Caenorhabditis elegans: one gene and its partner. The protein of the gene in region 1 purifies or fractionates together with the protein of each later gene. This does not show direct contact. Each region holds a gene or a part of one and is shown on either strand. Other genes may lie near its edges. The genes, in order: kal-1 and sdn-1.

Region 1 (12,022 bases):
CTTTAAGTCCACTGCTTCCCCTTTTCATTTTGGGCCTAAAATTTTCAACCGGGCCCTATCAAATTAGGCCAAAAATAGGGTACCTCTATAGCAGTCCGAAACATCTGTCAAGGCCCGTTTCCGGGGTCCTCCTCTAGTTTGGGCCGGAAATATTGTTCGTGACCCGGTGACCGAGGTCATTCCTAAATTTTGGCCCAACTTTTGGCCTAAAATTTTTAGGGGGGGGGGGGGGGGGGGGGTTTCGGTTTCTTTCAATTTAGGCTTGGGCGTTTTTCTATTTTGGTCCAGAATTCTTAAGATTTTCGGTCGCCCCTTTTTTTGGCCCTGATATTTCGGTCACGGCCCGGTTTCCGGGGGCCCTCCTTTTCTTTGCCCCGGAATTTTTGTCCTCCGTGGCCCGGTTTCCGGGGTCCGCCTATTTTTTTCGTCTGGCTTTGAGGCCCAAACCCGATGGCCGGGGTCTCTTCAATTTCGGCTCGAAACCGGTAATCTTTTTTGGGCCGTTTTTATAATTACAGTGCTATACTTCCCGAATTTCAATTTTTAAGTAACTTTATATCTGAAAACAAGTATAATCCCGGTGGAGAGACCGGAAAACAAGACTACGAATCTCCTGTGAAATCCAAAAAATTGCTTTTATTTTTGATTTTCTCAAAATTGACTGCCAAGCCGAAATAGGCAAATAGGCAGGCAGGTATTTTATCTCTTTAGAGATTAAGAATCCGACTACAAAATAAATTGACATGTATATTAGTACAAAAATACCTACCTTCTTTACAACCCTCTATGGAATCTTCAATTAATAACCGTCTAATGGGATGCTACGGTCATTGTCCTCTCTCTCTCTCTCTCTCTCTCTCTCTCTCTCTCTCTTATTCTCGACCAATAAATTAATAAGAATACCCGGAGACAAAGGAGGGGAGCATTCATAGATAAATGGCTCAATTGTGTGTTACGTGTATGGAAGAGTGTCTGCGTCTCTACCTCTCTCTTTTTCTGTCGAGAAAGAAAAAATGACATAAGCAAAGGGTAAAAAGTGGCTCTTATTAGTTATGCACCCTTCCCCCGCCCAGTCACCTTTCACGCTTTTGGTATGTGGGAAGAGGACAAAAAAAAGAAAAAGAACAAAAAGGATAACAACTTTTTCAAAAAAAAGTTTGTCGATGCATCATGTCTCCCCTTAATTTGACAGCTTATAACTTGGTTCGTGTTGATGATATTTATGTAAAATAAAATACATATTATAGAAAATGGTGTAACAAATATTTTATAAATTGACAACTTTTTGATAGCACAAATACACGCCGAGATATGAGGCGTTAAAGATAAGCCCGGTTGATGCACCATGAGTAACCCAATTGAACGATCGATTTTCAAGATAGCAGCATGAAATAAATTTCATTTTATAGAACAAATGATTTAAAGTATTTTTTAAGTTGACAACTTTTCGATATCACCGAAAATAGCAGAATTAGAAGAAGCCATAGCTGAGCCCGGTCGATGTACCATGCCTCCTCTTACTTTGGCAGCTCATAACTCGCTTCGTATTGAAGATATTAATGTAAAGTAAAATACATTTTATAGAAAATAGAATAAAAAATATTTTTTTAGTGAATACCTTTTTGATATCACTAATTCAAAACGAGATATATTGGCCCTGTCGATTAGCCCAACTTATGAGTAGCCCAACTTAACGACCTGTATCTTGATCCATTTTAAAGATATCAGTATAAAATAAATTAAAAACTATAAAACAGGTAATATCAAATATTTTGTTAGTTGACAACTTCTTAATAACTCCAAAAGTTCCCGATTTGTGAGCTGTCAAAGATAAGCCCGTTCGATGCACCATGTTCGCGCTCCTACTCCTCTGGTAGGCAGATACGGTTTTATCGTACATCACCTTACCCTAAGCTGAATTTTACAATTTTTTTCAAAATTCCTGGCAACATTTTGTCTTTCGGACCCCCAAACATCTGTACTAGTCCGGGTTCCAAAAACACTACCCCCAGGCATTTTCCCTCCGCTGCTCATCTATATTTCATCCGTTTTAATCCCAATTTTATGGGGGTTGCATAATAATGCTCACCACAAAAAGATTACGTAATACCTGCAACAAGACACTTAACACTCTGGAGAGGACTAATCCTCTACTAGGATACATTGAAGTGGCCTAGCCCTGTTTAGGGGGGGGGGGGTCTAGATTCAATACAGATCCTTATAAGAAACCTCAGTTTATTGGTGTATGCTTTATACTTCTGATAGTGAGCTTTAATGTCAGAAGATCTATAAATTTTGTAGTTTGTAGTTTATTCAAACACGGTAAAATTTATTAGGAAGCTGTTTAAAGGAACATTCCCTCCCCTTTCCCTTGCCTTTTTAGTCCCAGCCACCAAAAATTGGTGATTGTTTGTTGTTTCCTCTGTCCCCCGGAATACTCGAATTGCCTGAAGAAATGGGACGTTTGACACACAATTGGTTTCTTTCTTCTTCCTTTCTTTTTTTTATTTTACTCTTCTCTTGTTTGTTTGTGGAGCTTTTCTTTTTCTGGAGCCGTTTGCTTTTTTGTAAAGAGCTCCTTTCCGATGACTCTGGACTGAAATACTTATTATAGATTCCTGAACTTATATATGTATTTATCAAGATTCTCACTAATTAAGTCCTAAGGGAGGCTATATTTTGAAAATGTGTGCACATAACTTCATTATTTACCTTCAAACATTAGCATTACTATAGATAAGCTGGTAAAATAAAATTGAAATTTCAAACTAAACCAGGCAAAGTACCTCTAAAAAAATAGAATTTTCTAAGAAATTTGAGCGAAAGTTTAAGTTTTCGGGAGAAAAAAAGCTTCATTTTCTGGCTTTTGAGCAAATTTTCAGCGTTTTTTCTACCTTAAAATTAATCAAAATAGGCTAATTTATAGCTAGTTTAGCAGACTTCAAGAGATTTTTTTAGCGAATCCGCTGAGTTACTTGATGCACCATGAGCTTTCACTTGAATTTTCAGAATTTTTTTGTGGTTTTGAATGTCTTTTCCTAAATTCCGAGAATTTGTCGATGCACCATATGTGGGTCATTTCGGCTTGATCTACGTAGATCTACAAAAAATGGGGGAGAAATAGGGCAGACTTCTCAACTGATTTCGCATGATTAAGAACAAAAAGAAATGCTAACATCACATTTTTTTGGGCGAAAAATTCCCGCATTTTTTGTAGATCAAACCGTGATTTTCAGCCTTTTTTTTTGGTCGATGCACCATGATTTTGTGAAGATTTTTGGGCAAGTTTCAGGGCTTTTTCTTGATTTTTCGATAAATTATTCTGAAATTCACCGTGTTAATCAATGCACCATAAGCTTTAAATTTTCAGATAATTTAGTAGATTTTTTTCGATGCACCATAAGCTTTTTTCCGGGGTCTTTGAATTATTTCATAGTTTGGAACGTTTTTTTCCCGCAAATTCTTAAAATTTATTGATGCACCATGTGTTTTATTCTAGATTTATTGCATTTTTTGTATATTTAAAGCCTTCTTCTATACATTTTTCAAACCTGTCGATGCACCATGAGCGTTCTTCTCGATTTTTAAAAAATTTTTCGTATAATAGTTTTGGAGGTTTTTTTCCCGCAAATTCCCCCAATTTATCGATGCACCATGAGCTTTTGGCCGGGGTTTTTGCAATTTTTCGTAGTTTTGAAAGTTTTTCCTCAAATTCCTAGAATTTGTCGATGCACCATGAGTGTTCTGTATTTCTCTGTGGTTTTGGTTTTAAACAGATTTTCAGACCATTTTTCAAATTATTATCGAAAAAATACGATCGCACAATTTTCTCATAATTTATTTTTGATCTACCTTGTTGATTAGGCTCCTCCCCTACCTTCTACAAGACAGCCACAACAAATTAACAACGGAAACAAGATTGGGGGCGGAGTCAAGTTCAACAGAGGTAGATCAAAAATAAATTATGAGAAATTTGTGCGATCGTATTTTTTCGATAATATACTCTTTTTCCTATCACCCTGAGCTCCCTCACCAAATCAGACTCTTCCCCTCTTCCTTCCCCCATCCTTTTCCTCCCTGCGTCTCTGAGAACGGATGGGCGGTTCTTTTGTCTCCATGCCCCTCCCATTTCTTGTCATTCCTCACCCCCCGTACCTCCTCCCTGGGCAATGAATTTAATATGTTTGTTTGGGAACGCGTGTATCATTTAGAGGCCCCCTATTGTTATTTGTCGTTTGTCATAATATTTTATTAGATTTTGGGGCGAATTTTTCCGGGTTCTACGGTCATTTTGTACAATTTTGGGTTTTCGTGGGGTTTTTTTTCTGAATTTTTGGCGGTTCCACTGGATCAGTCGATGCACCATGTGCTTTTTTCTGGATTTTCTGATTTTTTTTGTAGTTTTGAAGCCTTTTTCTGAAAAGCCTTTTTCTTTTTCTCAATGCACCATAACTTCTTTTTTTTTGAATTTTCGTAGTTTTAAAGGTTTTTTTTTGTAGATTTCCTTAATTTTTCGATGCATCATGAGCTTTTTTCTGAGTTTTTCTTAGTTTTGAAGGTTTTTTTCGTAGATTTTCAAAATTGATCGATGCACCGTGAGCATTGCCCTGAGTTTCTAACATATTTTTGTAAGGTTTTTGAGCATTTTTTGGTATTTTTTGTGTTATTTTTTAATTTAAAAAACGGAAAAAGATGTTAGAAACTTAGAGAACAACAGGGAAAGCTTAAAAATCACGAAAAATTCGAGAAAACTCGAGAAAAAATCATGGTGCATCGATAAATTTGTTAGTCGATGCACCATGTGCTTTTTTCCTTTTTTACATAGTTTTTATCGGATTTCTCAGCAGTTTTGAGCTTTTTGCTGTACTTTTCCTCATTTTTCTTCAATTTTTAACTCAAAAACTGCATTTTTACCCCCTAAAAAGCTACATTTATCTTCTTCTCCCCCTTCGCCAGTTCATAAAATATGCAAATTGGGCTCGTTAACTCTTTTAACTTCTTTTTTTCTTTTTTTTTTTTGCACATTTTTACTCTTACAGCACATGATTCTACTGCTGCTCCTATTCATATTGGGCTCCGTGAGCCCGGACGAGCTAATTTCGACTCGATGTCAGGCTCAATGCCTTCACTTGATGGATCAGAGGCTACAAGTGAGTTTTTGGAAATTGTTGGCTAATTTATGGGAAAAATTGAGCAAAAATCGATGCACCATGTCACAATCTAGGAAAGAGTCCTTATATCCATAACCACTTGGCTCTAGTACCTGTGACCTAGGCATATTGTCATTGTTTCATGCTCTCCAAATACCGACACACACACACATAGCGGCTCCTTTTCTCGGTTTTCAAGTGGATACCCCCCCCCCCCCCCCCGCCTAAATATACGACGACATGTAGAAGAACAAACATGTCAATCAAGGGCGAATTCCGGTGGTAGGAGATGTTGATAAGGGTAGACCTCCCCCAAAGAAAGTTTTGGGAGATTTACAAGCAAGATACTGTACAGTGTAATTTATGGGTGTACAAATAGAATTGATTTGGCGAATTTTCGGGATTTGGCGGGAAATTCGGATTTTTTTTTCTGGGGGAGTTTGAAGGGGATTTCAGCTTTTGGGAGCAATTTTCTGAGTATATAATTTGTCAGAAAATTCAAATTTCCCGCCAAAAAAATTACTCTGAAATTTTGAATTTCTCGCTTGAAAATATAGTTTCTTAGAAAATTCGAATCTACCGCTAAAAATTTGTTTTCTGAGGAAATGTTGAATTTCCTGCCAAAACAGTTCTTCTCAGAAATTTTGAATTTCCCGCCAAATTTTTTTTCACAGAAAATTTAAATTTCCCGCCAAAACTATTTTCTTTGAAATTTTGAATTTCCCGCCAAATTTGATTTTCCTCAGAAAATTTGAACTTTTGGCCGAACATGTAGCTTCTCAGAAAAATTGAATTTCCCGCCAAAAAATTGGTTTTTCTCAAAAAATTGAAATTCCCGCCAAAATTAGATTTTCAATGAAAATTTGAAATTCCCGCCAAACATTTTTTTAAAAAAATTTGAAAATCAAGCCAAAAATATGTTTTTTGACAAATTTGAATCTCCGCCAAAACTTTTTTCACATTTTCTACAGTAATACAGTTGCTGGCGGGAAATTCAAATTTGTAAATCATCTATTTTTGCTTTTTCCAGCCAAGACCATTCAAAAACCTAGCCCGCCAACTTATACGAGTCCATCGATACACCTTACGCAATTTTAGTACATTAAGCGGTACCTCTTTGTATATGAAAACATTAAAAGTGACTTGCGTAACGTGCTATCAAGATGGAGGTATTGGGTATTCAAAAAAGAAACATTGTTTCTTCTAGATAAAATCTAATGGAGGGGGGTGGGGGTAATAGCAGGGACCACTTCCTGCCAGCTGATGGGGGGATGGATACCTGACCTCCTCCCCTACAGGTGTCACATATACTACTCATTGTTGTTTCTAGATGTTGTAAACGATAAAAGTAAAGAGCAGCTGCGCGGGGGGGAATTGGGCTCTAAAACTAAATTAATGTGTTGTTTTTGTTGACTCTTACTAAGGGGGGATAGGGTGAGGGGTAGGGGGGAAGAGTCATAAAACTTGGTAGCTGGACCCACTTAATAACCCCTAGGAGGTCTCTCGGAATGTTATGAATAGACCCCTCTTCCGGTGTGAACTCTTCCCTATTGTCATATTCACACATTGTCCACACACACACACACACACAAACTTTTGTTCGAATAAGGAGGTCCGAGGTCGGCCAAGTGCACTCAAGAGTGCATTGATTTGGCCTTGGGAGGGAATTTTGGAGTTTTTGGGACAAATTTCCGGAAATTTGGGGGGTTTTTAGAAAAATTTCGCATCAGTTTTAGCCAAAATTCGACGAGTTTTATCTGTTTTATCATGGTGCAACCGGCCATAAAGGGCTCCTCAGTACTTCTATACAGTGTAACGAGTTTAGGACTGTTTTAGCAGTTTTAGAGTGAATTTTCACCGATTTTGAAAATGTTTAGGCTAACTTTTACCTATTTTGTCCAAATTTTGAGCTTTTAGGGGATTTTGATGATGGATTTTGAGGGAAATCGCAGGCTTTTTTGTGACATTTTGCACCATTTTTGGTCAAAACTCGGCAAGGGTTAACATGGTGCAACCGACTGTTCAGGGTGTCTAAGTGATTCTACACAGATTTTAGTGATTTTTTTGAAAATTTAATGTTTTTAGAGCAATTTCTCCGTGTTTTCAGCTAATTTGTTGGGCTAATTTACACATATTTTATCCAAATTTTGAGATTTTTCTAGATTTTTTGGGTGATCTGAACAGATTTTGACAGTGTTTGGGTAGGTTCGAGCTACTTTAAGCTGATTTTTCTGATTGATTTTTGATAGCTGATTTCGGTTAATTCCACATGCTTTAAGCTAATTTTCTCCGCTTTTGAGAGCCTTCAGGCTGTTTTTCTCCCAATTTTCAGAATTTTGAACCATTTTTCGACCTTGTCCATGACTTTTTATGAGGTGTGAAAAATTTCAAGAGTTTTCAAGCTAGATTTTCTGTTCCTTTTCTGCAAATTTTGATAATTTTAGACCAATTTAAAGCATTTTTAAGATACTTCAGTTCCAAAAATTCTTTAAAAATTCCTAAAAATCAGGTGACATCAGTTTCAATTTAAGCATAATTTAGCCCAGTGGGAACCAATTTTTTACTTTAGCCAATTTTTACCGTACCCCACCGTATCAGTTTCAAGACCACCGTACCGCGCGCAATTTACAACCTACTCGCTTCTCTTACTGACAACCGCTGTTCATGATTTACTGCGCGCATCAGGGCCAAGAAATTGTCACGCATCACAAACTCGACGGCAATTAGTTTTATGGAGAGACCCCTCCGCGTCTTCATTCGGATTTAGATTCCAATCTCTTTCTCAACACTACTACTACTACTTTTCATTTTGAAATCTCTTGAAAAGGAATGTGGTGGGGTAATAATTATAATAATGAATATATATTCATATAGAAGGTTCGGATTAAGGCAAAGATATTGGAAAAGGGGGAAGCTCTGCTGGTGTGAGGTCAGGTATATGTTAGTTTGGCGGCTCCTTTCCTCTTTTTTGCTCTAACGAACATCATCAATCAGTGACAATGACACGCGCTGTCGGAGGTCAAAAAGAGAGTGACTTTACTACTATGCTTTGCTAACGAAAAAAGTTAGTTAGTAGTTTGTGGGGGGACCTTCTCAATAATTAGGGGTTTGGTGGAGAGAAGAAAAGACATGAAAAAGAAGAGAAAAAAGTACGAATTGAAGGTCCTGGGGAGCAGAAATCTAGTGACTTTGGGGGTCTAGGGAGTCTAGGTTGGCCCTAGTTTGGTTAGGGTCAAAGCTGGACGGTCGGCTTGAAATGGGTGTTCTAAAAATCTAGATTGGCCTCTAAGCTTGTAGGAGACCAGGGAGGCTTTGCAAAAAAAACCATGAGCTTGATAGAGGTCTACTGAAGGCCTAAATTAGCTTAGACCATTTGGTTGAAGAAATACGTGCTCCCTGAGATCATGGATCCTGAGATCACTAGGACTCGGCATGGTAAGGCTTTTTTGGCTGGTGCACCTTAGGGTCTTCTAAGAGCCTATATCGGTTTAGACCCTATGCGCGGAGGAGTTCAGGCTGTGAAGGGTCCTAAACTCACAGCAGTATCCATACATAGCAAGGCTCTTAAATATGAGGTATCTTTTCACTCTGACATCTAAGTTCCCATAGGTATGGTACCTAGTTGATTTGCCAATTTTTCCTTTTTAAAATGTTACCCCTCGCCCTCTTGTCACCCTGTCACAATTTGTCATTCACCTGTTACCACTCCTCGTGTTCCCATTTGGTTATTGTAACCTTTCTTGCTAGATCATTATCGTAAGCACCCTTCTAGTTCATCAATCTTACCCTCCCCGGCGCCACGAAGGTTTGGCGCCAAGAGGGGGGGGGGGGGTCATAAATGAATTGACTCGGATACTATGTGGATTTAGTGTAAATTTAACGGAATCTGGCGGGGATGGATAAATGTTTTATAGACGATGGGAAATTAAAAATTTCCCTAATAAATTGGCCAGCGGAACATATGTGAGGATACGGGCAGGGGGGATGAGTTCTAGGTCTAGTTTTGCCAGGGGGCATCAGGGGGACCAGGAAGTATCAGGGGGACCAGGGGGGGGGGGGGGTATCAGGGGGACCCGGGGGTATCAGGGGGACTAGGGGGTATCAGGGAGACTAGGGGGTATCAGGGAGACTAGGGGGCATCAGGGAGGCTAGGGGGTATCAGGGGGGACCGGGGGTATCAGGGGGACCAGGGGGTATCAGGGGGACAAGAGAGGAGAGGGGGAGGGGGATGCCAGGGTTTTGCAAAGAGGGGTACCTTGTCAAGGGGGGGGGGGTGGGGTGGGGTACCAGTATCTTTTAAACGTTTTGTACCACATTCTGAAAGCACCGGTAAAGTGCAATACATGGCATTTTTACCGGAAGACCACAAAAAAGGCGGTAAAGTTCTAAACGTTTCTAAAACAATACGTGCCTATTAGAAAAAGAGGTGCTCTTCGCCTAATTACAGGTTAATTTGCACTCGGTTCAAGTGTTTTTTGTGTTATTGTTGGGGTAAAAGGAACAATGGACCGCCCGAATTATAACAAACCACCGTCCGAATTGTCATAAATTGTCCCAGACCCTGCCTCCATCTAACGCAATCTGCTGCTTATCGCCACCCCCCGTCACGTAACAAATCATTAGAAGCGCTTTGATCTGTGCTGGCGTAACCCACTTGAGATACAATATGCTAATGTGCTCACGGTGGCTCATTCCAAATTCATATTGAGCACCAAATCAGAGAGGTGGTGTCGATTCTCTCACGATTTGTTCCCAAAAGGAACGGGAAAAGTTCATGAAAAATTCAGGCGGGTATTGTTTTGAGGACTCGCGCAGCTGCTGGATGGATGGATGGATTTTTGGATTAGGTGGGGGGTCCTCTGGATAATAGGAAGTTTTGGTTTTTCTTGGAACACCGTGAAAACCACCGCAAAATCGACTAAATTTGTACAAAACTGCGATTATGAGAGGCCAAAGTCGTGAAAATTTACCGGACAAAAAGTGATGTCAATTTACATTCCAACCGATTTCCAGACTTCAAATGTTCCTTAACATGATCCAAAGTGCCCTAATTTCTATAGATATTCATTAAAAATTGCGATTTTTTGAGCTTAAAGTCGCAAAATCTTACACATCTAAATGAGCAAAAAGTGATGCCAATTTACATTGCAGAGTACTTTTGCTTATTTTGCAGATTTTGGGGTTCCCAATTTTCCCTGAAAACCCTCATCCATTCTCCTTACTCCAACTCCAACAACCGAACAAAAAACGGCGGGTATTAGATTCATGAGAACCGATGCATCAACGTCTCTCATGGTGCCAGATGGGTAACACGACACGAAGACGGTTTATGGCCGGCGGGGTTGGGGGTAAAAAGAAAAAACATTTGAGATTTCGACTTTTCGACAGATATTTGATACTTTAGAGGGGGTCTGTTTTACTTTTTTCAGGGGAAAATTTGGGTTTCTGTAGTGGGAATTTACCATGTTAGCGGAAATTTAAAGTTGTAAAGTTTGGACATTTTAAGGTAAAAATTTCGCTTTTGGAAAATTGGCAATTTAAAACAAAAAATTTGACGTTTTAGGGCCCAAATCAACGGTTTTGGAGTGAAAAATTGGCTTTCTTGGGTAGAAATTGACCATTTTGAGTAAAAATTTAGCCTATTAGGGTCAAAATCAACAGTTAAAGTTTTGGAGTAACAATTTAGCTTTCCTGAGTAAAAATTGGCAGTTTAAAACAGAAAATTTGACGTTTTAGGGCCCAAATCAACGGTTTTGGAGTGAAAAATTGGCTTTCTTGGGTAGAAATTGGTCGTTTTGAGGTTTTGAGTGAAAATTTACCCGCACGGGGTCAAAATTAATAGTTTAAAGTAAAAATTTCGCTTTCCGGAGTGAAAATTGACCTTTTGAAGTAAAAATTTTGATATTTTGACGTCAAAACTAACTTTTTAATGTCAAAATAGACTTTTTCATGGGGGAAGTCATGAGGTAAAAATCGACTCCCTCAGCATTAAATTGACATTTTCGAAGTCCAAACAGTCTAACACTACAAATTTGCCTTTCTGAAGTGAAAATTCACTTTTTGGGCTTAAAATCTGCCTTTTTGGACTCCAAATTCACTTCCCAAAGCCTCCAGGTCAACACCACCAACATACCATTACGGCTTAAGCCTCTATATGCATTAGTACCGCACCATTTGCCTTACTGTCTTCTTCTCAGACTTTTGTAGTAGAACCAACGGTAGTAGGGGGGGACAATAATCCGGATAGCACACAGTAGAAGAAGATGATGATGAACGGAAGATGGACGGAAGGTGCGCGAAAACAAATGTTCACGCCTGAATTAGCACACCACCACCTTCCTGTTCTTCTTCACTATATACATAAAAGTTATGACTTTTGGAATTTCAGGGGATATGTGGGATATGGTGTACAGTGGAAATACACGTGGTGCCAGGCTTGATCTACAAAAAATGCGGGAATTTTTTGCACAAAAAATGTGACGTCAGCACGTTCTAAACCATGCAAAATCAGTTGAGAACTCTGCGTCTCTTCTCCCTCATTTTTTTTGTAGATCTACGTAGATCAAACCGAAAGTCCAAATTTTCTACGGACTGAGAACCTTGCATTGCCTCAAATTTGAGCAGAACCTGAAAACACTGGAAAATCTACAAAAAATTGAATTTTCTGTCTGTTGGTCAGTTGGTTAGCGGCTACAAAAACTACAAACTACATTTTGTAACACTAAACTTTCTTGAAGTTAAGCCTAAGACTCTGATCCCAAGGCCCTTAACCTAAGCCCAAGCCTCAGCCTAAGCTTAATCCCAAGCCTAAGCCCAAGCCTAAGCCTAAGCCTAAAGTTTTAATCCCAAGGCCCTAGGCATAAGGCCCCAAG
Region 2 (13,532 bases), on another chromosome or scaffold:
GAGGTAAGGGTACTCACTAGATTTTATCTGTTTGAAACGTAACTCATTCTGTCTTACAATGTCTCACAGTGTCTAGCAGAGGTCATTCCGTCATGTGTTCTTATAATTTTCTTGGTGTTTTTAATTTTGGGGATCGCCCCAAAGTTGTATTTTTGAGCATTATTGTAATTCAATTATTTGCTTTTGAAAATTGTGAAAGTTGAATCCCTGTATTATGGATGAGTTTATAAAAAACTTTCCGTACAAATTTTCATTAATTTTCAAATACTGCACATTTTTTGAAACTAGCAGTTTCATTATCACTCTTTAAAAATTTTAGGTTTGAGCCTTGCAACATGAAACATTAGTTGGTAGTGTTCAGTGGCGCTTCACCTGATAGCGCGTAACGCAAACTATTTTGTTGATAACCAAACCATGATTTGTGATATCTTGAAACATCGTCTCTATATTCACATCTTGAAAATTCATAAACGTATGTAAGTCGTAGTTTACAGTATAACATTCAAAGATTTCTTGAGAATAATTTCTTAGTCAATGTTAATCTTGAACTTGATAGAATCACCGTTGAAATCGCGGAAAAAAGGTAGATCCTGTATTTGGAGCATTATAGGTCCTAGTACGTACGATATTCAAACATTTATGCGCATCAGCTCTTGTCGTTTTGCATTGGTTTTTGGTGTTATCAGCGGCAACAGTGTTGCACTTCGTTCTGCATATTTGTTTTAGTGATAAGTGATAACCCAAAAAATGTTGAGGCTATATGTTATTGTTCAACAAACAACCCCGTTCAGAGGTGTGTAACTGTATGTATTAGCGTAAAATTCAACCAATGGACGCACTCCTTCATCACCCGTCCTCCCTTTTCTTCGCGCGTAACGGAGTCAGATTGGAGGCAGAGGGTCAGTGAGTGGACCCTATTGCGGTAACCTTTTTCTCCCTCCCCGACAACCCGTCCTCGCGAGTCCATTCGGACAGTGCTAAGAAATTGGAGACGCAGACACAAAAGACTTGGTAGAGATGAATTAGCAGGCTGAAGAAAGGGAGAGGCTAAGAAGGAGAGAGAGTGCTCACTACTCGGATCGATCGTCTTCGTCGTAATGCTAATAAAACAGATGGGCCGTCGTCTTCGGGTTGGGACTATTTGTCTCCTCACCACCAAACAATATTTGTCTGATATTTGACTTTCACTACTTGTAATGGGCGTTTTCGCGCATTAAGTTATCACCTATCTCTCCCACGTTTCCCAACTTTTTTTCCTGAATTTTGAATATTTCATTTCGTCAAACTCACTTCTTGCGAAATTTGCGCCGCTTTTACAAGTGACTATTATAGATATCAATTGCGAAATGCTTACCTTAATTTAAAAAATTTCAAAATGTCATCCGCAACAAGTGGGATATCAGCATCTTGTTGAAGCCAACGACTTTACACTCATGAGAAACTCGTCTCCCTTTTTCTCATTTTTTCTTCAGAGCAATATGAACAAAAGATGCGATTTCTCACTTCTCCCATTTGTTTTCTCACTTTTTCACGACGGGTTTTTGTTTCATTTGAACTTGGTTTCAGATTTCAAGAACTAAGATTGATAAGGTTGAAAGCTTGTCTACTGAAAGTTCCCTTTTCTTTAAAACAGCAATACGAGTGAGCAAAATGTTATAATTTAGTTTAAATATTGACTGATCTTGACAAAATACGTCTTTCTTTCAAATCTCGAAAGTCCCTTTAAATGTTTTTTGTTTACGACAGAACATATGTCATTAAAATTCTTTTTAAATCTTCAATATAAATTGAACAACTAATTTCAATGATTTCCAAAACTTTCAATTAATCCGTTAACCATTTCAAGTACACATTGCCAATTTCGGAACGCTTATGCGGGTGACGACGTAGCGCATTTTCGTGTGTATGTGTGTATGTTGACGTCGTCGTTGTGCGCGCAGGGGGGCGAGGGCCAAGCATTTGCATACCATTTCGCCTTCAACCGCCCTCTACCACCAAACATACACACGCAAACGCATCAATCGCGGGAGTCTCGGGTACCCTACGTCTTTTTTCTCTTTTCTCTATTTCCTCGAAACCGCAGTGTGATCCCGCTCTGCCTTTTTTGGCCGTTTATTACCTCCTCTGGTGCCCCTTGCGCGTGTTTCCGTTTTTGTGCTGTCCGAAGGAGATTGCGATTTTCTATTTTATTCTCCTTTTTCTATTCTCTGGTTCAATCATTTTTCTTTCTGTTTTTGGTCAAATCCTAGATAACCAAATTGTCGCTATTAAAACGAAAAAAAAAACGGGCACCAGTCAAAAAAGAGACATCAAATTTCTTCTTCCTTCTGCTGAGCAAACCCAAACACTTTTTTCGTTTTCTTCAAATTTCCATCGATCAGTTTTATCTATATCTTCTCTATATATTTTTCAATTTGCTTCTCACATTTGAAGGATGAATTCACTTTATTTCAAGTTTATGTAGCATTTGCGTTGGAATTTTTTGGAGAGCAAAAAGAAAAGAACAGATGGGGAAACTGCCATCTGCCTCAATTTGCAGCAGATGCTTTTAGGTACTGTTCAGGCGAAACATGTCGTTTTTCATGTTTAGAATTTGTATAATCGTTTTTTTTTGTTTTTGTTGAAGACTTAAGGAAGAAATTTGAATAAAATAGTAGCTTTAGGTGTTATTTGAATAATTATCAAAACCTCCTTTAAATTTTTGGCACTCCACAAAACTTTTGTTTCAAACAACACTACACCTTATAATTTAAAACGTAACATAAACTATTCGGAACACACAAAGCCGAAAAGTTCTCAATTTTTTTAATTGCGTTCCCAAATTTTCTTTCAGAAATTAAACTGAAACAATCAGTATCAATTGACAATAAATTGCCAACTTGTCAGTTTTATATTACATACTCTCAAAATATCTAACCTGAATTTGAAAAAAAAACATGGCATAAAAAAAATTATAAAGCGGTGCTACTTTTTTTTTATGAATTGGAAACTTTTAATCCCCAGCTGATTTGGTTGTCATTTCTTTCTTTTTTAGTACATTATTATATTTCTATTCATTCGAGAAAAACATTTTGAACTCCGCTTACTAATAAAATGAAAACCTAAAAACTGTACTTCCTATTCATAATTTGTAAAATCTATCTGCTTGCAGTACTCCTACATAATAAGATATACTTGTTGACCTGTTCAATGACGTATTGAACGCGTTTTAGTTTTTGCTCTGAACAAATAAAGCTTTCCCTAAAATGCTCCTCAAAATAAGTCCGCAAGGAATTAGTGCAAGACTAGAAGGATGCAAGATAAATATTAAAAAATACAGTTTAACCCTAAAATACAGTTTAACCCTAAATTAACCCTAAAATTTTTAATTTTTCCACATCACTCAAAACCAATTAAATGACACAATAAAAACTTGATGAACGGATATAACCTGTCTCTTCCTCTCACCTTTTCCTATTCAATTTCTTCTTCAGTACTCTCCTTCTACTCATCAACTACCGCATTAACTTGTCACGTCTCAATTTTCCGCGTGAATTATCGTCAATCGATCCGATCCAACCGATGTGATTGAAAGAGGGCATTCCTACGTTCATTCACATATCCGCCCTCAAAAACTGGTATCGTGGCCCCTGAATAACTTTGCTCTTTCTGCGTTTCATATGGCATCTGTGTCACAAGTCCGCCTCTTTCCGTTGCCGGCAGGGCGTACACCCTTTTAAATTTGTTCGGATGCGGAGCAGTAGAAGCGAAATTCGGTGTATGCGTATGTGATGCGGATGCTACGAACACCAAACCAAATGCAATTTGTGCGCGCCTTACTGCTCTTTTCTCATTTCGTTGGCCCCTTCCTATTTGATGAAAAGAGAGGAAAGATCCGAGTTTTTTTTTGCCTCGAGGCAAGCTTTTTGGCAATAGTAATTTGAAGAAGTAGGTTCAGTAACTCACACGAGCTCTCAGAGCTTCTCGTCTCGTCTCAAGAGTTTTTCTCTTAGCCGGGGAATGTATTTGAATAAGAGATTTGTTTTGACCATCTATACATTCACAAACTATTCTCTATTACGTTACTGCTTTTGCACAACAACTTTAGAATTGTTGAATTAACAGTAATTGCTTTTCAAAAGTAAAGTGAGAACAAAGAAATTGGTTAACTTGTTCAAAACGTTCATTTTTTACTTAGTTTAATTTAAATCTTTGTTTATTTATTTCTGTTATACGGTCAAATGTTTCTAGACGAAATTCAAATTATAAGTTCCACATTCTCAACGAACATATGTTTTAAAAGTTTATTGAAAATTAAAACTTTTGATATTCACAATTCAGTTAAATTTAAATTTCATTATTTTCCGACAAAGTAAATTTTCAGCAAGAAAGTTTGTATATGTTTCAAAAGTTGCCCTTCTATGTTTACAATCAGTGATAATCACGAGACCAGGGATATATAAAACGGAAGCAGTCCTAAACGAGGTCATCATCTGGGAGGCGCATACTAGGCGCAACTTGCCCTCTCCCGTCCCGGGGTGTTATCTGATTCCGTTTCCTTTGTTTTGTTTCACTTTCGATCCTATAACTCTCTCTCCCTTTTCTGCATCCTGAGAAGATGTTACCTTTCCCATGATGATCCTCAAACATCACTACGCTCCATTCTGTCTGGCGCAGAAGTGCTTCTTCTAATTTCATGGAGGGTCATCTAGGCTGGCAGGACGCAAAGGTTTCGACACGAAATTTGTTGAGGGCAAGAAAAGAAAAAGCCGAGATAGGGAGAGTCGGAGAGAGACAAGACACCCGTGGCTTGCTTGCCCATCTCATTACGCACTGCGGTCGGGAGGGTCCACTCGCGGAGGGCTTTACCCTCTTCGTCGGCTCTCTTTAATTTATCCGCTTACCCTCTACTGCTACCCTTTTCGACTTACTTGACCAGTCACCCCTAACGTCCCGTTACTTTCTTCTCCTTGCTGTTGAGTAATACTTTCTTTCCCAGTCTGTTTTCTCCTTTTTTCTCGTTTTTTAATCAACACATACACAGATAGACACACGGCGAGGAGAGAATAGTTTTTATAGCTTTTTGCTGTCTTCATCAATATCTCAAACTCTTATTTTTCTTCATTTTCTCCTTTTTCTCACCAATGCTGTAAATACCATTTTGTCTTTTCTCGGGTTCACCGTTTGTATCGTTTTACTCGTTTTACTCCACCTCTTTCAATTCTCCAATTGTTATATTCCCTATTCTGTCATTGTACCACTACCAATCCAAATTTACGATAACCCCCTTTTCTTTTAGAACCCTTTTGCCGTACACCGCCATTTCCTCTGTTTTCATTTTGCCGTTCCACTCAACCTTTTCCTCCTCCACCACAACACCAATTGCTTTTTCAGGGGTAAAGAGAGTTTCCAAAGAGATGCCGGTCAGGTGATTACACCAACAAGACAATATGATTCTGAAACTCAATTTCTGCCTGTCGACTTACTCGGTCCTCATTCTCCTATCCTTATCTACACAAGCTTTCGCCGCAAATCAAGCAAAAACGAAAGTGGTCCCTTCGTCAACTATTTCTACGAAAAGCTTGAAAAATGGAATATCTGAAGTAAGTTATTATATAAATTTATCATAATGTTACAATACGATACTACGAAATTCATTCACCAGCGCACTTTTTGTTTGCGCAAAGCAGGCTCGAATCTGAAGCGCGGCAAATGCGCACCAAAATATTTGCATTATTCAAACAGATATAATGGGCGATGGAGCGCGCGTAACATAAATAATAATATTAATAATAATAACGAATAATATTTATTTAAATAATATAATAATAATATTGGCAATATGAATAATTTGAAACTTTTGCAGCAGGTCGAAGGAAGTGCAAACATTCCCGGCAGGTTAGCAGACATCGAAGTCAATGGATCCGGCTACCCAACCGACGACGAAGACGGTGATGATGTCCATGGGTCAGGTGGGTATTTTGAATTGTTCTTGACAACTGTGAGAAATCCTGTTAGAAAAGCGTTAGTCCAGATGCAAATTTAATTGTGTGCGCCGCTTGCAGTTTTCAATCTGTGACAGACAAATTTGAAAACCTTTTTTAGGCAAGCCGCCATCTTCAGCTACCACAAAATCGGACAAGGTTACATCTCCAAGCCATGCTGTTGTGACTGCAAAGCCGACAACGGTACCTACTACTACAGCGGTTTGTGTCGGCTTTTTCTTTTGATGTGTTTTACCGCAATCTTTCATTCTTCAGAGCTTCAAGCCTCCTGTTCAGCCCAAGCCTAAGCCAGCGGCAAACGACAAGGAGATCAAGGTCGAGGAGGACGAGGACGATGATGAAGATGAGGATGAAGATGATGAGGATGATGAAGAAGATTTTGCTGATGAGAATATTCATAATGATGAAGATTTCTTCACAACTACTACTACAACAACGTATCGACCTATTGTTGTAGCTACCACCTCGTATGTTTTTCATTTGAACAAAAAACAAAACTATTCTAATGCCCTCCAGGGCCCAGGATTTATGCATCTAGAAATGTATTAATTATCTTGTCAATCAACAAATCCCCGAAAACATCTAGCAGCCAATTTAATTTTCAATTTTCCAGAACGCCAAGGTCAGCAGCCACAAATCCACCTCGACAGCAGCCACCAATGGTCACATCAACCATCTCATCTGGACCATTCTCGCCATTCCATGAGACACTGGCAAATGGCTTCTATGCAGGTATGTGTGAAGCAAAACTCATTTCAATTAATTTTGCATTGGGACCTTTGATCGTCCGGAGTGTAACTATCATTAGTGGGAGCAGATGCAAATGTACATAAATCGCCCGGTCAGTGTGATGGCGTCGGCGAATGATTTGTTGCGAGATGATAAATTGATGTCTTCTCGTCAATCGAAGGCAACACGGTTGCATTCAATATATTCGGCCACTGTATTCCGGGGGAATATGCTGCCTCAAGCCTATCCGTTCCGTCTGTTCCGGATGGGCAAATATACACAAAAATATGAGACTTGCATAAAAGTATGCATACTTTTTGCATTCCGGACACTCATCCCGTCCATTTTTCGCGACCAGTCTATCAATCAATGTGTACAGCTCGAGGATGTGCTAGTTTGTTGTCGAGCTGTTTCTTAATGACAGATGGCGTGGCCTCTTCTTCGTCTTCTTGTGCTTGTGTCACAGAATGGGGACCCCTTCGTATGAATGATGCACCACCACACATACTCTTCTTTCCCCCATGTGTCTAATTATTCCTGGTGGGAAGACGATGAGAGCTCTTCTTTCTTATTGAAAGAAACCAACAAGTATTGGTGAATGACACGCCAGAAATTATATTATTGAAAACGGAGAGATGATGATGATGATGAGGATCAAGATGGGTCCAAATTATATATGAGTGCCACTGAACGAGACACTTCTCAAGTTTTCTATTTTGGCGCAAAAATGTAGGAAGAGATGTTTAGTTTTTTTCTTTCCACAACACTTGCTTTGAACAAACTTTTTTGTGTTTACTGCCTTTTGTGAGGAAGTACAGATGCCTTGAAATGGGTTTTTAAAGAAAACATAGACCCCTTATGACGCGTGTCTCAAAATGTGGGGAAAGACGAATTGTTCAGTAAAGTTGACATCTCTTCTCAAAACTTGCTATGCTTTCTTCTTTTGTGGTTATCAAAATCTGAGCAGCATCCCACATCTAACAAAGGAGCCCCAGCTCTATTCTCTTGAGAAAAAGGGCCTGAGGTTCGGGATGGTGGGACGGAAGCCGCTGAAGAAAGAAGGAAGGCAAGGTCAAGGGTCGCATTTTGTGCATATTTGATTTTATGACACTGAGTGGAGGAAGTGTCTGTGAGGAAAAGGGGAACCTTTTGAATGAAAGGTTTTGAGAGAAGATGACGGTTTTGAAAGGATTTAGTGAGTTGGAAAGGAAAACTAAAATTTTTTTTCACTTAGTTACAAAATTAAACTCTTATTGAAATTATTCACTACCAAGAAAGTTCAATTTAGGACAATGCAATATTTCTTACATGCATCGCATTACTGATATTATATGTTGTCCTTACGGGTTGAGATCATAAAAATATGTTTGGAATAAAGCACAAAGCTTATTTATTTTTTAGTAACGAAAAGATTTAAAGTTGTAGAATTATCTATTTTAATTTGATTTAATTTGATATTTTCAGCTATTGCCGGAGGTGTTCTCGTTGCGGTGATTACAGCCATTCTACTCGTGCTCTTTGTAGTCTTTCGAATCAGGAAAAAAGATGAAGGGTCATACGCATTGGATGAACCCAAGCAAGCAAGACCATATGCCTCGTATGGTTATACCAAAGCATCGACAAAAGAATTTTACGCGTAATCTCTACTGTCATTTGTTCAAAATCTTCTATCACTCAATCACCTTTCAAATCATTTTTATGATTCTGTTCTCAGACTTCATTCCAATCTGCCATACCTTTCAATTTGTTTTTTTCCCACTCCCATTTTTTTCAAACCCTCCCCCCCCCCGCCTTCCTTTCGTAAAGGTCATTACTCTCTGTTCTACTCGTGATAATTTGATAATATAAACTGATCTGACTCCATGGTGCCAAATATTTGAATATAATCTTTTGTAGACCCACTTAGGGGTAGGGATGCATGTATCTTTGACTCAATTTATACTATACTCCCTTGTTACTATAATGTGCTCATATTATCCTATTCTAGAAATTTCCACCTAATTTCCAAAATCCCTCAACACTCTCACGCGGTTTCTCTGGTTTCTGATGGCACTTATCTGCTAGAGTTTTTTGTTTCAAAACTTGCCTCTTGAAATTTGTACTTTTTCTTGTTTTATCCGTTTACCTTTTTCTTTCCAATAACATCTTCTGTAACAATTTGAGATGCTCACATATTTTATGTATTCAAATTTATAAATATAAAAATATTACATTAATGTTCCAAAACAATATAAATAAACAAATAACGAAAGAAAAATGATCATGAGAAATCTCACATGGACAATGAAATAACAAGAAGAAGGAAACGAAGCCTTAAATTGAAAATAACGGGTTTCCATAGAGACAAAATAAAGCTGCGCGTTTTTTCAATCAGAATACGTAAAACTTTTTTGCCTCGTGCACTAATACTTTTCGAGCTTTCTTTTTTGGCTTCGGTTGCCATGTAATTTTTCTGAATGATAGAAGAGCGCCTATTGAAGTATTTGTTATTACTGTTCCTAATTCTTGGATTCTGCGAATGTAAGATTCTCAATCAATGCTATTCATCTGGAACAAGCTGTATTCGGTTTGAAAAAGCTTATTTTGAATTTGTGGACACTGTTCAACTAACCAGCGATAATGTGCCAACTCTAAAAGACAACGCAGGAACAACATCAACTCGTGTTGTGCTCAGTGAGCTTCTAAGTCATTTGGCATTCAATCATAGTTGGACACTTGCCGCATTGGTTAGCTTCCTTTTCGAAAATTCTGAATAATTGACGAACACGCAATTCAATTTGCATTCAGGTGGTCAACGCAGGCACACGCACTGACGTTCAATGGAAAATAGCTCCTGATGAGACAAGTGAGCATCCAATTGAAATAGACGATCCAGATGGATATGACAATCCGTTTCCTAATGCGACAGTTCATTGCGTCGACATTCAAAATTATGCTGATGACGCAAAACGGGTAAGTATTGGTCATGTCTCATTCATCTTCATTTTGAAGGTGTCTCCGAATGGTCTTCTTGTTACCACATAGAACCATATAAAATATATGAGAACAAAAAACGAAAAAAAAACGTATTGAAAGATGGGAATAGGAACCATATGGTTGTAATGTAATGGCGCGTTTCGTGTCGCCGTGTGTGTATGTTCAAAATGCGTCAAAGACCTTGTGAAAGACCAACTGCTCTTGTCTTTTATTTCGATTATGCAAAGGGTGTGAAATTGAAGGTGTATTGGTAGTGAGAAAATTGATTCTGTATTTAAGTGCCTTACACTTGATAGTCGGGGGAGCAACCAATATATTCGACTTTGACATTAAAAAAAACCTTACTGGTGTATCAGAGACCGGCACTTTTAGAAGTAAATTTTTGAATGAAAACGTAAGGATAATTTTTGAATTTTCAGGCTTTGAAAATAACATTACAAAACCTAAATATATCACGTTTAATTTGAATGTAATAATAAACAAAAAATTGAAAATTTTTGAAAATGCAGGGAATCAATACAACAGTGCCAGGAACGTTATAATTAAAAAGTTATGTTATATGGAAAAATGTGAAACACATGTTATATCTGCCACAGGTTTATACATGTTAGGTTTTTTAGGTAAAGTACATGCTTATTGTTATAGTAAAAACATCAACAATAGAATAAACATTATAATAGTTCAAATCAATTATGCACGTGTCGATGCTAATCCATCGGTCACAATACTTATAGTAAACACATTTTTGTGCTGTTTTACACAACAACAATGAAGAAACGATAATAGTTTAGTAAAATTATTTCCATTGGAATAGTGATTACTTTTTCAGAGCCCAATATTTAGATAACTTTTTAAAGCCAAGTTGATGCGTCATATGATAAAGCAGAAATATACAAGAGCGTGTTGTATCAAATATCCTGGATAAATTGAATTTAGAATCTTAGGACTATTATCAATGATGAGTTTAGATCCCCATCAAATTTGCGGATTTATTATAGTAGAAAGTTCCAGTAACAACATTGATCGGTTGAATTATTAAACTACATTTATAAAAAATAATTTTAAATCGTCTTTTAATACCTCAATTCTTTCTAACAGTGGCATTTTCAGTTTTTGGTAGTACCACCCAACTACAATTTCTTTTTTTCTGTTAATGGCTCCGCTTCCATAAACTGTTCAAAAAGTGGGATTTCAATTATTCCGTTTGTTTGGGATGATACCAGTAGGGCAAGTATACGAGGAATGTCCTATTTTTCTTCATCACCTTGCTCTAGTGTGAGATTGACAAAGATCAAATATATTTTTTAATTCTTCAATTTAGGAATGCCTCGTGTTGCCTATCCCAACATTGTTGGTTAGATTCTGCCCAAATGTCAACAACAGGTACAACTAACTTATATTAAAAATTATAACTATTTTTTAATACAGCAATTTGGAAATTCACATTGATAAAGTTGAAGATTTTACTGCCGAGTTGTCTGATGATTTACTTGGTATAAACATTCAAAAGGTTAATGATTCAATTGAATTTCCAATGGGCATTATGAATTGTGAGGTTTTGATGGAAAACTCTTCCATTCTCGGAGGTAACTAGTTTTTCCACCAAATCATTCATAAAGTACATATTATTCAGAAAACCCTATTTGTCTGGGAGATGGGGCAAATGTCGCCATTAAATTTGGTGCCAATCCAAAGATCGGCATACTACAAGAAGTGAAAACAAAATTCTCACCTCGATCAGCATTTCTCAAAAGTCCAAAAAATGCGGTAAATTCTCATTGAAGGGCAAATAAAATTGAAAGGCGCACAGTTGCAGGTGTATCCAAACTTTACAGTTTCCCATGAAAAAGAAGTGGCTACATGTTCTAATTCAACAACGTTCGAAGTAAAACAGATTTCAGGGAACGGCTTCATGCCTTTGAGTTTTCAGTGGACTATTTTGAATGGTTGGATTTTTTTATAATGTAATATCAATCAACTTCATAAATTAAGGTACCTTGGATATGGAAACCATTGCAAAAGCCGCAACAGAAAGACTTCTGGAAATCCCCAGTCATCATGTAAGATATAAAAATAAAACTTGATTTATTTTATTTTTGAAGCTATCAACAAACAATGTGATACTGGTCACCGGGTGTAATGTAGCGGAAAAATGCACTTCAAGTGGACCAATCTATACCGCACTTGTTGATGATGCATCAGTGTTTTCAGTTTCTATTGATGGTACTTGATACTTTTTAAAATGTTGAGTAAACTCAAATTATTCTAGGCGTTGAACAAGAAACCCCTGCTTCATTCGGTCTTCGTCTCCGTGCAAACCCTACTTTTAAGCAATGCAGCTCCAAAACGTCCCCAAAAGATGTTCAGGTGTTTCAATACATAAGCTTTAAAAAATGACATTATTTTTTTCAGTACGAGTGGAAATTGAATGGGGAAGGCAAAATGTATGATGACGGGCTCAAACTACCGGCTTATTCATATTCTGTGAATGAGCTGGTTAATGTTACACTGATAGCAAGATACAGTTACGAAAAACCGTACTCTTCAAGTTCAACAAAGACCATACATGTATGTTGTTAAACTTGCAACTACTGTTGCTAAAAAAAAGTTGCATGACATTTATTGAAAGGCAAAAATAAGGTTCTTCACGAAAATCACTGTAATACAGTTTATTACACCATAAATTGTATTTCGACATTAAAACGTGAATGAGCCCATAACAAAAGTTCAGTTTTCATTTCAAACTTTCCCACTCTTATACGTTTTCTTTTGTAGTAAAATGTTTGTGTCTAATTTTCAGTATTTTGGCTTACCACTTCTAGTAAATTTGGATTGTGCTGAACGTCAGATTGGGAAAGATCACGACCTCACAATACGAGTATTGGCGGTAGATCAAAATCGAAAGGACTCTAGTCTTAAATACCAATGGACCTGTGAACTCATTGATGGTAACTTTCATTTACTTAAACTTTTATTTAATTATATTTTTCAGAAAAAAATGACACGCAAAGCTGCAATCTTGGAGCGATTGACACGTTTCAGGATTTTTTGAAGATCCCTACTAACAAATTAATCGAAAATACTATTATGAATGTGACAGCAACCGTTTCATCTGAGGAACAATCTGACAGCTCTTCATGTATCGTCACAATTGCAGCAACTCAAATTCCAACAGTTACATTTTATAGACTCGCAGAGAAAAAACAAAATGCTTTTGATTATATCAGGTAGAAATATTATTGAAAGTTTATACTAGTCTTTTTTTTAGAATCCAAGCATTAGTAAGTTCGTCATTGCCAACCTTGAATATCACATGGGAAGTTGTTCGAGATCCTCAGTTTGGTTATTTCAATATTTCATCGTTTATATCTAACCCTACTACAATTATAAAAAATGTTCCATCAAAATCTGACGTATTTGTATCATTCACAATTCCACCTGCAGGAACACAGTAAGAGTACTAAAGGAAATATCACACTATCAGATTTTTAGACTTGCCATGTGGCCAGGATTGATGAGTGGTAAAACCTTTGTGATCCGGCTTTGGGCGTCTAATGAAAAAGGATCTTCGTTTTCGGATTTGCACTTGTCTACGAATGCGCCACCAACCAAAGGAAATATTGATGTGAAAAAAGAGAATCGCTGTTTCTAGTCAATTGTTGTTTTTTTTTTTCAGATATCTGTACCGTTTTATCCACCGTTTGCTCTTGAAACTCCAGTTACATTTTCTGTTGGTGATGGTTGGAATGATGATAAAGACGACTTGCCTTTGACATATCAGTTTGGTTATAGAATTCATTACGACAATAATGAAACATATGAATATCAAGGATCAAAGAGCAC

What was found.
Region 2: the proteins of kal-1 (region 1) and sdn-1 purify together in Caenorhabditis elegans (affinity purification with western blotting, with the first as the bait; one study listed by BioGRID). This does not show direct contact.

What each region holds. Positions count from the first base shown.
Region 1 is NC_003279.8:14,135,225-14,147,246, reverse strand, and holds the start of kal-1 (WAP-type 'four-disulfide core), read left to right. Parts: upstream 1-5,039; 5' UTR 5,040-5,042; coding exon 5,043-5,150; intron 5,151-12,022.
Region 2 is NC_003284.9:10,585,176-10,598,707, reverse strand, and holds sdn-1 (putative syndecan), read left to right. Parts: upstream 1-5,373; 5' UTR 5,374-5,429; coding exon 5,430-5,582; intron 5,583-5,845; coding exon 5,846-5,951; intron 5,952-6,084; coding exon 6,085-6,185; intron 6,186-6,239; coding exon 6,240-6,451; intron 6,452-6,597; coding exon 6,598-6,716; intron 6,717-7,121; exon of another isoform or gene 7,122-7,261; intron 7,262-7,335; exon of another isoform or gene 7,336-7,556; intron 7,557-8,177; coding exon 8,178-8,353; 3' UTR 8,354-8,938; downstream 8,939-13,532. Other genes in the region: F57C7.4 (PKD/REJ-like domain-containing protein), read left to right, coding at 9,170-9,439, 9,501-9,665, 10,800-10,964, 11,011-11,072, 11,118-11,275, 11,323-11,456, 11,506-11,635, 11,682-11,749 and 8 more. UniProt on the Caenorhabditis elegans protein: Cell surface proteoglycan that bears heparan sulfate.